Tribolium castaneum: one gene and its partner. The protein of the gene in region 1 interacts with the protein of each later gene in a pairwise test. Links are inferred from orthologs where the notes say so. Each region holds a gene or a part of one and is shown on either strand. Other genes may lie near its edges. The genes, in order: sau and Tctp.

Region 1 (4,305 bases):
GAGTTACACAATTACGACAACAAAAACTAGGGATGAAACTCACTTAAAGACGCTTTCCAGCGACTTAAATAAAATTTCTTGAACTGAACTGTTGATTACTTGGACTTCGTCGTTGGCCCACGGTGTTTGAAACAGGTTTCTTGAATATTTACAGTACCTTCCGGCTATAAAAATATAATCGTGCTTGTAAGCCACTTGGTCGAAACTTAAAGCTTTCCCGGGCGGTTCCGGAGGGACAGCGGCATGTTTTTTGAAAAGTTCGGTGTTTATTGTCTTTAAAAACTCCCCGATTACGTTACGACTAAGACCCTCGTTTTGTCCATTTGATTTTTTCAGTCTACTTTCCATCAGAAACATAATTGACGACTCCTAATACAACTTATTAATTTTTAAACAAGCAGTGGTTAGTCCTTTCGTTACCTCTTTTTCAAATTCATAAGTCGTGTTAAACTGGATTTGGAGCAATGAATCTTTATTGAACTTTTTGCCAAGTTTTTCGCCCAGTTTGTTTTGTATTGACAAGGACCATGCCCTGTTTATTGGAACAATGTTACGATCTGAAATGTAAGCATTTCAACTATTTCAACAAGCAAACCAAACAACCTTCAAAAAACTTGGGGAACTTCTCATTCATATGAATCTCCATGCTGTGTTCCCTTATTAGAACAGCAACCGGAAAACTAATGAAATTAATAAAAGTCTTGCAATCGTACTCCTTAACACCCTCCAGTTCTTCACACTGAACCATGGATTCAAGAGTCACATCTTGGAGCAAATCGAGACAAATTATGCACGAATTCAATTTCGTCTTTTTCGCCAACTGGTCGTGTCCGTTTTGCTACAAAAAAAACCTTTAATTGTTGAAAATACGACTTTTTTTTACCTGTGGATTATCATAATCGGCTGTGTTATCGCCAACGTAGCGTAAAGCGCACCTTTTGCAACACCCAGTCTCCAATAAAAAATTGAAAACTTCGGCTTTATCACTTTCGGTCATTTTTAAATAAAATAATGTGGTGGCAAAAAGTGAGGTTAAAAACGGTGGGTTATGCAACCCATTCGACAACAATTTTTTCCAAACTTGAAAAAATCCCGTGGTGGGGAAATCATAAAAATTGTGGGTGCTGATTACTTGGCATTGTTAGATTTTCTGTACAAAGGGATTAAATTGGAATTGATAAGAGCGTGACGTAATCGTAGGACGTAATCACTTTTTCCCGATTTTTGATTTTTTATCCAAAAAAAAGGCTTGAAGGGTTAGTTTAGTTTGTTAAATACTAGAAATGAATAATTTTCTTAGAAAGTGAGCGAATTTGTCGATTTTTCGGACGGAGTGGTTTTCTGCCAGCAGCCTACATGCTTTTGACATTTGCCATGTTGATGGAAGTCAGTTAAACGTCAAGTCTTGTAGAAAATAAATAAGTTATTTGATATTTAATTAAAATGAATCGGAGTGAAGGGCTGGTGCAAAGACGAAACATAATACGTGACTCAGGTGAAGGTGTGAAAGAATCGCAGAACAATGAGAAGAAGCAGGAGCACGACGAAGACATAGACGAGGGCGATTCCAAAGAAACCCGATTAACTTTAATGGAAGAAGTATTATTATTAGGCTTAAAAGACAAAGAAGTAGGGCTTCGCCCCCCGTGTGCTCACCACACCTAACCGTGTCGTTTTTAAGGGTTACACATCGTTTTGGAACGACTGCATTTCGAGCGGTCTCCGGGGGTGTATTCTAATCGAGTTAGGTTTACGTGGACGTGTGGAACTCGAGCGGGCTGGTATGCGCCGAAAGGCGCTCCTCACCCGCAAACTTATCCTCAAAAACGACACACCTACCGGAGACGTCCTCCTAGATGAAGCTTTAAAACATCTCAAGGAAACAGATCCACCAGAAACGGTTCAAAGCTGGATTGAGTACCTCAGCGGTATGCTCCAAATGCCCCTTTCTGCCCCCAGGTTCACTTAATTGCGTGCTTTTAAGGCGAAACTTGGAACCCCCTCAAACTGCGCTACCAGCTGAAGAACGTGCGGGAACGCCTAGCGAAAAACCTCGTCGAGAAGGGGGTTCTCACAACGGAGAAGCAAAACTTTCTGCTGTTTGATATGACCACGCACCCTCTGACCGATAACGTCACCAAAAGCCGTTTAATAAAAAAGGTACGTTTTGATACAGCAGGTGGTAAAGGGTGCCCCGTTCTACTAAATAGTAGATCAAGTAGAACTTTAACGATAGGCAGGTAAAGTACTAAGAAGAGTATACGACTTACACTTGCGAATTATTCCCTAATTACATTGTCTTCATTTCTATTTTTTTGTTTTCGTTACGTTTTTACATAATTAAGTGTATTTATGTCCACAACTTTCAAAATCTTCACTTTTTTTAGTTAAGTTTTCTGGGTAGTCTATATCGTCGTATATAGAAAATATCATTTTTGCTTATAGTTTAAGTTTTTAAAATTTGTAAAAGCTTTGAAAGAGTGTAACTGAGGTAATTATGCAATACTCCTTCCCAAAGCTTTTATAAATTTTAAAATTGTAAGATATAAGCACAAATGTATGTTTCTGAGAAAAAACTTATTCTTCACCTTTTCTTTATTTTTTCCTATTTATTGAATAGTTTATTGTATTTATTTACACTCTCTGGTGTAAATTATATTCGACACCGATTGTGCATAACAAATATTTGGAAAATACTAGTCTCTAATTCGACTGCCTTGAACTAAAATGCAGTATCTGCTTTTAATCTTTCAGTAGACCAAAAAATACTTATTTAACCGGCCTCTTTGAATGACTAACTCTTTACTCATATTGTTTAACTTAAAAATATCGTTTTTTTAGGACAGTTTAAGACGTGAGTATTAAATTATCTAAAACAACGTGATATTAAAGTATAAGTGGATATTGAGGTATTTAAAATATGCAGGATTTGTCGAGCACGACGGCGTAGCCGGAGTGCTCGTAAAAGAGTTATACATGAATACTTTACGTTAGTTTTTTTATTGGTACACTTTGAAATCATAAATATTGATATTACAAATATTGAAAATAATGTAATGTGAGATCAGTTTACCTTTCGTTGCCATGGAATTGATTATCATTTTAATAAAAAATGTTAAAAAAGTTAGTATTTATTTTCACTTTTCTTGGGTTATTATGTTATTAATGTTGCCATGGACACTTTAAGAAACGTGCTGCTGTGTGCTTTAAATAAGCAAAATAGATTGCCAATAATAAACTAAAAGTTCGATTAAAAGTTATATTATTGTATAAATGTATTCTTTTTTACACCTATATGAGTTATTTTTACGTAAACAAATGGACTACGATTGACTGTCTCTAAGACATTTTGTAGATACGGTGTTTTACCTTGGGAAAAGGAATGTTTTATTACAGTTAGTGTTTATTCATTTAGAAAAAGAATTGCTAATAAGTATTTAAATGAACCTAAGCGTAAAAATAATGCTAAATATGTAAAAAACTCATCAAAAAATTTTTTGGGTACTGTGTTTTTACTTGGAATTGATTTGGTCCCATTCCCATTTTTCAACTAAAGGCCAGGATATTGATAAATTAATTACAATTGTTAATTATTTACAAATTATTAAATAATGTATATATTATTGTAATGTCACAAAATTACGTATGTATGAATTTTAGCTTGTTAATATGTTAGTTCCTGTGGGAAAAAAGGGTTTGGTTTCGTCTTAAAAAATCCTAACAGAATTAACTAACTTATTAAACTAAATAGCACGGAGGTTACGTATGTATGCAAAATTTCAGCTGGTTCGGCAGCAAAGCAAGTTAACTATTGTTTGCCCTTTAGAGATCGGGAAATACTTTGTTATTTTGAATTTAAGCAAAGTGTGTCTGAATTTCTGGCGGAGGGCTTGGGGTAAAAAACCGCTTTTTCAGATCCAGGATGCCGTACTTACGAAGTGGGTGAACGACCCCCAGCGCATGGACAAGCGGATGTTGGCGTTGATTTTCCTGGCCCATGCTAGTGACGTTCTGGAGAACGCTTTTGCGCCCCTAAATGACGACGACTACGAATTGGCAATAAAGCGAGTACGAGAGTTACTTGACTTGGACTTTGAGCAAGAATCAGTCAAACCAAACACTTCGGAGGTACTGTGGGCCGTTTTCGCCGCTTTCACGAAATGAAAATAAACTGTTTTTGCTACTAAATTTTAACTATAAATAAATTACGTTGAAATATTGAAGTTATCAGTTTTGTATTTAATGTGATGTTAGTTTGTACATTGGAAATTTTTTCTATGTGGAGTACACAGGCTAGACTAGGAT
Region 2 (3,288 bases), on another chromosome or scaffold:
GCTCCTCCTCGCCCTCCTCCGAGTCCCGCTCGATGCCCTCATCGTCCGTTTCGTGGTGGGTTTGCTCCGAGCTGTTCAGCTCGTCCGAGATCATGTCGCTTATGAGCTGCTCCAAGTCCTGGCTGATAACCCGCTCCTCGTCGTTCTGGCTGCCCTGGTCCAGGGCGATGTATATCACCACCCCCAGGCCCGCGATCACGTCCTTCTCGCATCGCAGCAGCTTCCTGGGGGTGTCTCTGGCTTTGATCGTGTTCTCGTGCACGTTGCCGTCCGTCTGCAAGTACACATGACGGACTTCTGTGACTATGTGAACGTTTTGTTTTCGGGACGAGACGCACTCGCTGTAATACTTTGCACATTGGTAGCAAAGGGCCCAAGCGTGCTCTTCCCGAATCGAGGAGTTGAACGAGTTGAGGATGTCCTCCAAGCAAACACTGCCGTCCGAATTCACTTTACACTTGGCCTTTGCTGACATGTTTGTTTATTTCACACACAAACACGGACTTGCCCACTTGCGGAGCATTGGAGAACTGTCTTAACCTAAATAATCAATGCGGAAACCTTGAAACTGACAGATGCACCCACACACGTTATCGATCAAATGATGTGCGCATGCACGGGCAACAACGTACCAACCTAATTTAAAAAAACACTAAAACATTTTTACTTTCTGAACTCAAACAATTCAATTCAATAATTAGAAACAGGGTAGATGTAATAAAAAGGCCGTATTGGGTCGTAGAAAATTATTTTCGGTAAAACGCACAAAATTACAGTATTGTTACAGCCAATGTTCAACAAAAAATACTTATAAGGAAGTAATCATTTATTTCAATTTCCTTATGAGTATAATTCATAATTGTTGCCGCACAAAAGATTGCTCGTACAATTAGAATTTGGAAAGCAAGTCATTGTTTGAATCATGTTAGAATTTGAAGACAAATCTCAATGGAATTATAAATAAAATGGTATATATAACAAAAAGCAATAATTTAAACAAACTAAAATTTCTCCTCGTCCAGGCCGTGTTTGAAGAACATCATCACTGGCACAGAATTTCCATCAATTTCTCTGTATTCCATCAGACCAACCATTCCATCAATATCCATGGACTCTCCAGTGAAGAACTGGAGCTCCTTAAACCTCCCCAAAATATCCTTCATCACTTTGTTCATGTTGGTCTTGAAAACTTCTACTTGGTCGGGAGATTTCTCCTCCAATTTAGCTACCAATCTGGAAACAACAAACCAATTTGCAAACATTCAACTTTGCAATAAACTGTTGCAGAAGTGTAATAATGCGCTTGCGGTCGCAAACACTACAATAACTTCTTCAATAATTTTGCATGAATTGCTCTGAGTGCCCCACCGAGTTGCGGCACCCAGTATTAGTACATGCAACGGTCGTGCAAAAGTACTCACTTCTTCATGTAGTCTTTAAGGTACGCGGTGTATGACTTCTTATCACTAAATGCATAAGTTTCACATAGTCTATGATTCATAACAATGTCGACGCCTGACTGGACATTTTCGTCTGTGCCTTCGTCCTGTTCCTCAGCGGACGGGTTAGCCCCATCCAGCTGGATGTCTCCTTCCTTCCGCTGGATCAGCTTACCATAAACTTCGTAAACGACTTCATCAACTAGTTTCATTTTGTAAGTGTCAGAGAACATCTCATCGCCTAAAAATGTACATTATTAGGTCGGGAACCACATGCTAGTCCAACCAATCGCAAATTCTGCGAATTTACAGCAAAAGGAGGAACTTTCAAGTGTCATCGAACTGACAGATGGATATTTAAAGGTTAAATTTTTGCATAAAACGTCACCATTTTCCAAAAATATTTGCGAGAAAATTGAGAGAATCGCCACTTACCGGTAAAAATGTCCTTGTAAATCCTCATTTTGAAGGGATTGCTGTAGTTTTTCTTGAGAAAACTAAAAACGACCCGTCCGCTACAAGAACGCAGCAAAAAAGGTCGAAAGTTTCTTTGACAGATTCAAATTACACATCACGTGCGCGCGCATTGGCATTTGCCCGAAAATTCCCATTTACATGTTTAAAAAATCAGGAATTATTTTTTTTTACCTGATTTTTTTTTACCTGATTGAAGTAATACAAACAGAACTATAATCACCCTGACACAATTTGAACAATAATGCTGCCAAAATGTACAAGTGGTAAAAGCTTTTTCTGGGGGATTTGTTTAGAACGCGGCAATACGCGCTATCAGTCGTGACGTCACCTCCCCACTCTTATTACGGTAGGTCAGTTGCTCAAAGCTAAACAACCAGTCTTTTACATGTGGTGTAATACGTTTTTCGGTTTTTTGGTTGTGTTTGTGCGTTAATAACGTGTCAAATAGCTGCAGCGGGTGTAATTTGTGCCACTAGAGACTTTAATTTAATTTAGAAGTGACTTTTTGTGAAAATACGAACTTTATAAAAGAATACAGGGAACCACGTTGTCGGTGAGAAAGTGAGTAAGCTTTAATTATACTTTGAGAAACTATTATATTTATGCATTTTAGTGGCAGAAAAGCACATTGTTAAGTTTCACTTTATTGCGAAATTTTTTGGGGACGGTAATCGCTTTTTAGTTCGGGGAGAAAATGCTTTTACCAGCGGTCACGTCACCAAATTTAGGTTTGATGGCACAGTACAACCGATGAGAATTTCTGCAGAAGTTCTACCGAGCATGAAAAAGCTAAATTATACTGTGGAGGTTTGTATTTATTTAACTGTTAGACATTTCTTCTACAAAGTGTGTTTTAGATTTCATATGACCTAGAAGAAGGGGTTAAGACGGCACATTGTACCTGCCCAAGGGGCAACGTGGCTTGCCATCATATGGCTGCAGCATTATATTATGCTCATTATAATGTAAGTGCTACTGACATTGAGTGTCAGTGGAGTGCCCCATCAAAAACAACACCACAAACAGAAGTCATTAAGTTAGCTGATGTTTACAAGCCGAAATTATCAAACTATACGGCACTGTCTAGGTCCTCTACTGAGGACGAAATTATTCAGTTCCGTGCCGAAATAGGCGTCACGAATGTGGTGGGCTTCACTTGGCTCCTAAGACCAGAAGCAAGTGAAGAAGCCAGAAAAATTATTGCAGATATCGAAGAAATTCTACAAAGCTTAGAATACGTGCAGGCCATAGACAAACAAAAGTTTCTTTTGGAGAAGTGCAGAATAGATGAGGCACGCATTAAACTGGTTGAGGCGTGCACTCGGGGCCAACATGTTAACGAAAATTGGCATGTAGCAAGGAAACATCGTTT

What was found.
Region 2: the proteins of sau (region 1) and Tctp interact in binary tests that used the Drosophila melanogaster proteins (3 or more experiments, as listed by UniProt). The link is inferred for Tribolium castaneum from reciprocal best matches to the Drosophila melanogaster genes sau and Tctp.

The regions. Positions count from the first base shown.
Region 1 is NC_087403.1:8,423,609-8,427,913, reverse strand, and holds the start of sau (Golgi phosphoprotein 3 homolog sauron), read left to right. Parts: upstream 1-1,443; coding exon 1,444-1,629; intron 1,630-1,681; coding exon 1,682-1,928; intron 1,929-1,984; coding exon 1,985-2,160; intron 2,161-3,915; coding exon 3,916-4,164; 3' UTR 4,165-4,305. Other genes in the region: tRNA pseudouridine synthase Pus10, read right to left, coding at 44-369, 421-557, 604-838, 884-997. UniProt on the Drosophila melanogaster protein: Phosphatidylinositol-4-phosphate-binding protein that links Golgi membranes to the cytoskeleton and may participate in the tensile force required for vesicle budding from the Golgi.
Region 2 is NC_087398.1:7,081,267-7,084,554, forward strand, and holds Tctp (translationally-controlled tumor protein homolog), read right to left. Parts: upstream 2,035-3,288; 5' UTR 1,903-2,034; coding exon 1,875-1,902; intron 1,681-1,874; coding exon 1,422-1,680; intron 1,234-1,421; coding exon 1,002-1,233; 3' UTR 732-1,001; downstream 1-731. Other genes in the region: spir (protein spire), read right to left, coding at 1-475; uncharacterized protein LOC135266299, read left to right, coding at 2,477-2,477, 2,530-2,723, 2,774-3,288. UniProt on the Drosophila melanogaster protein: Involved in calcium binding and microtubule stabilization.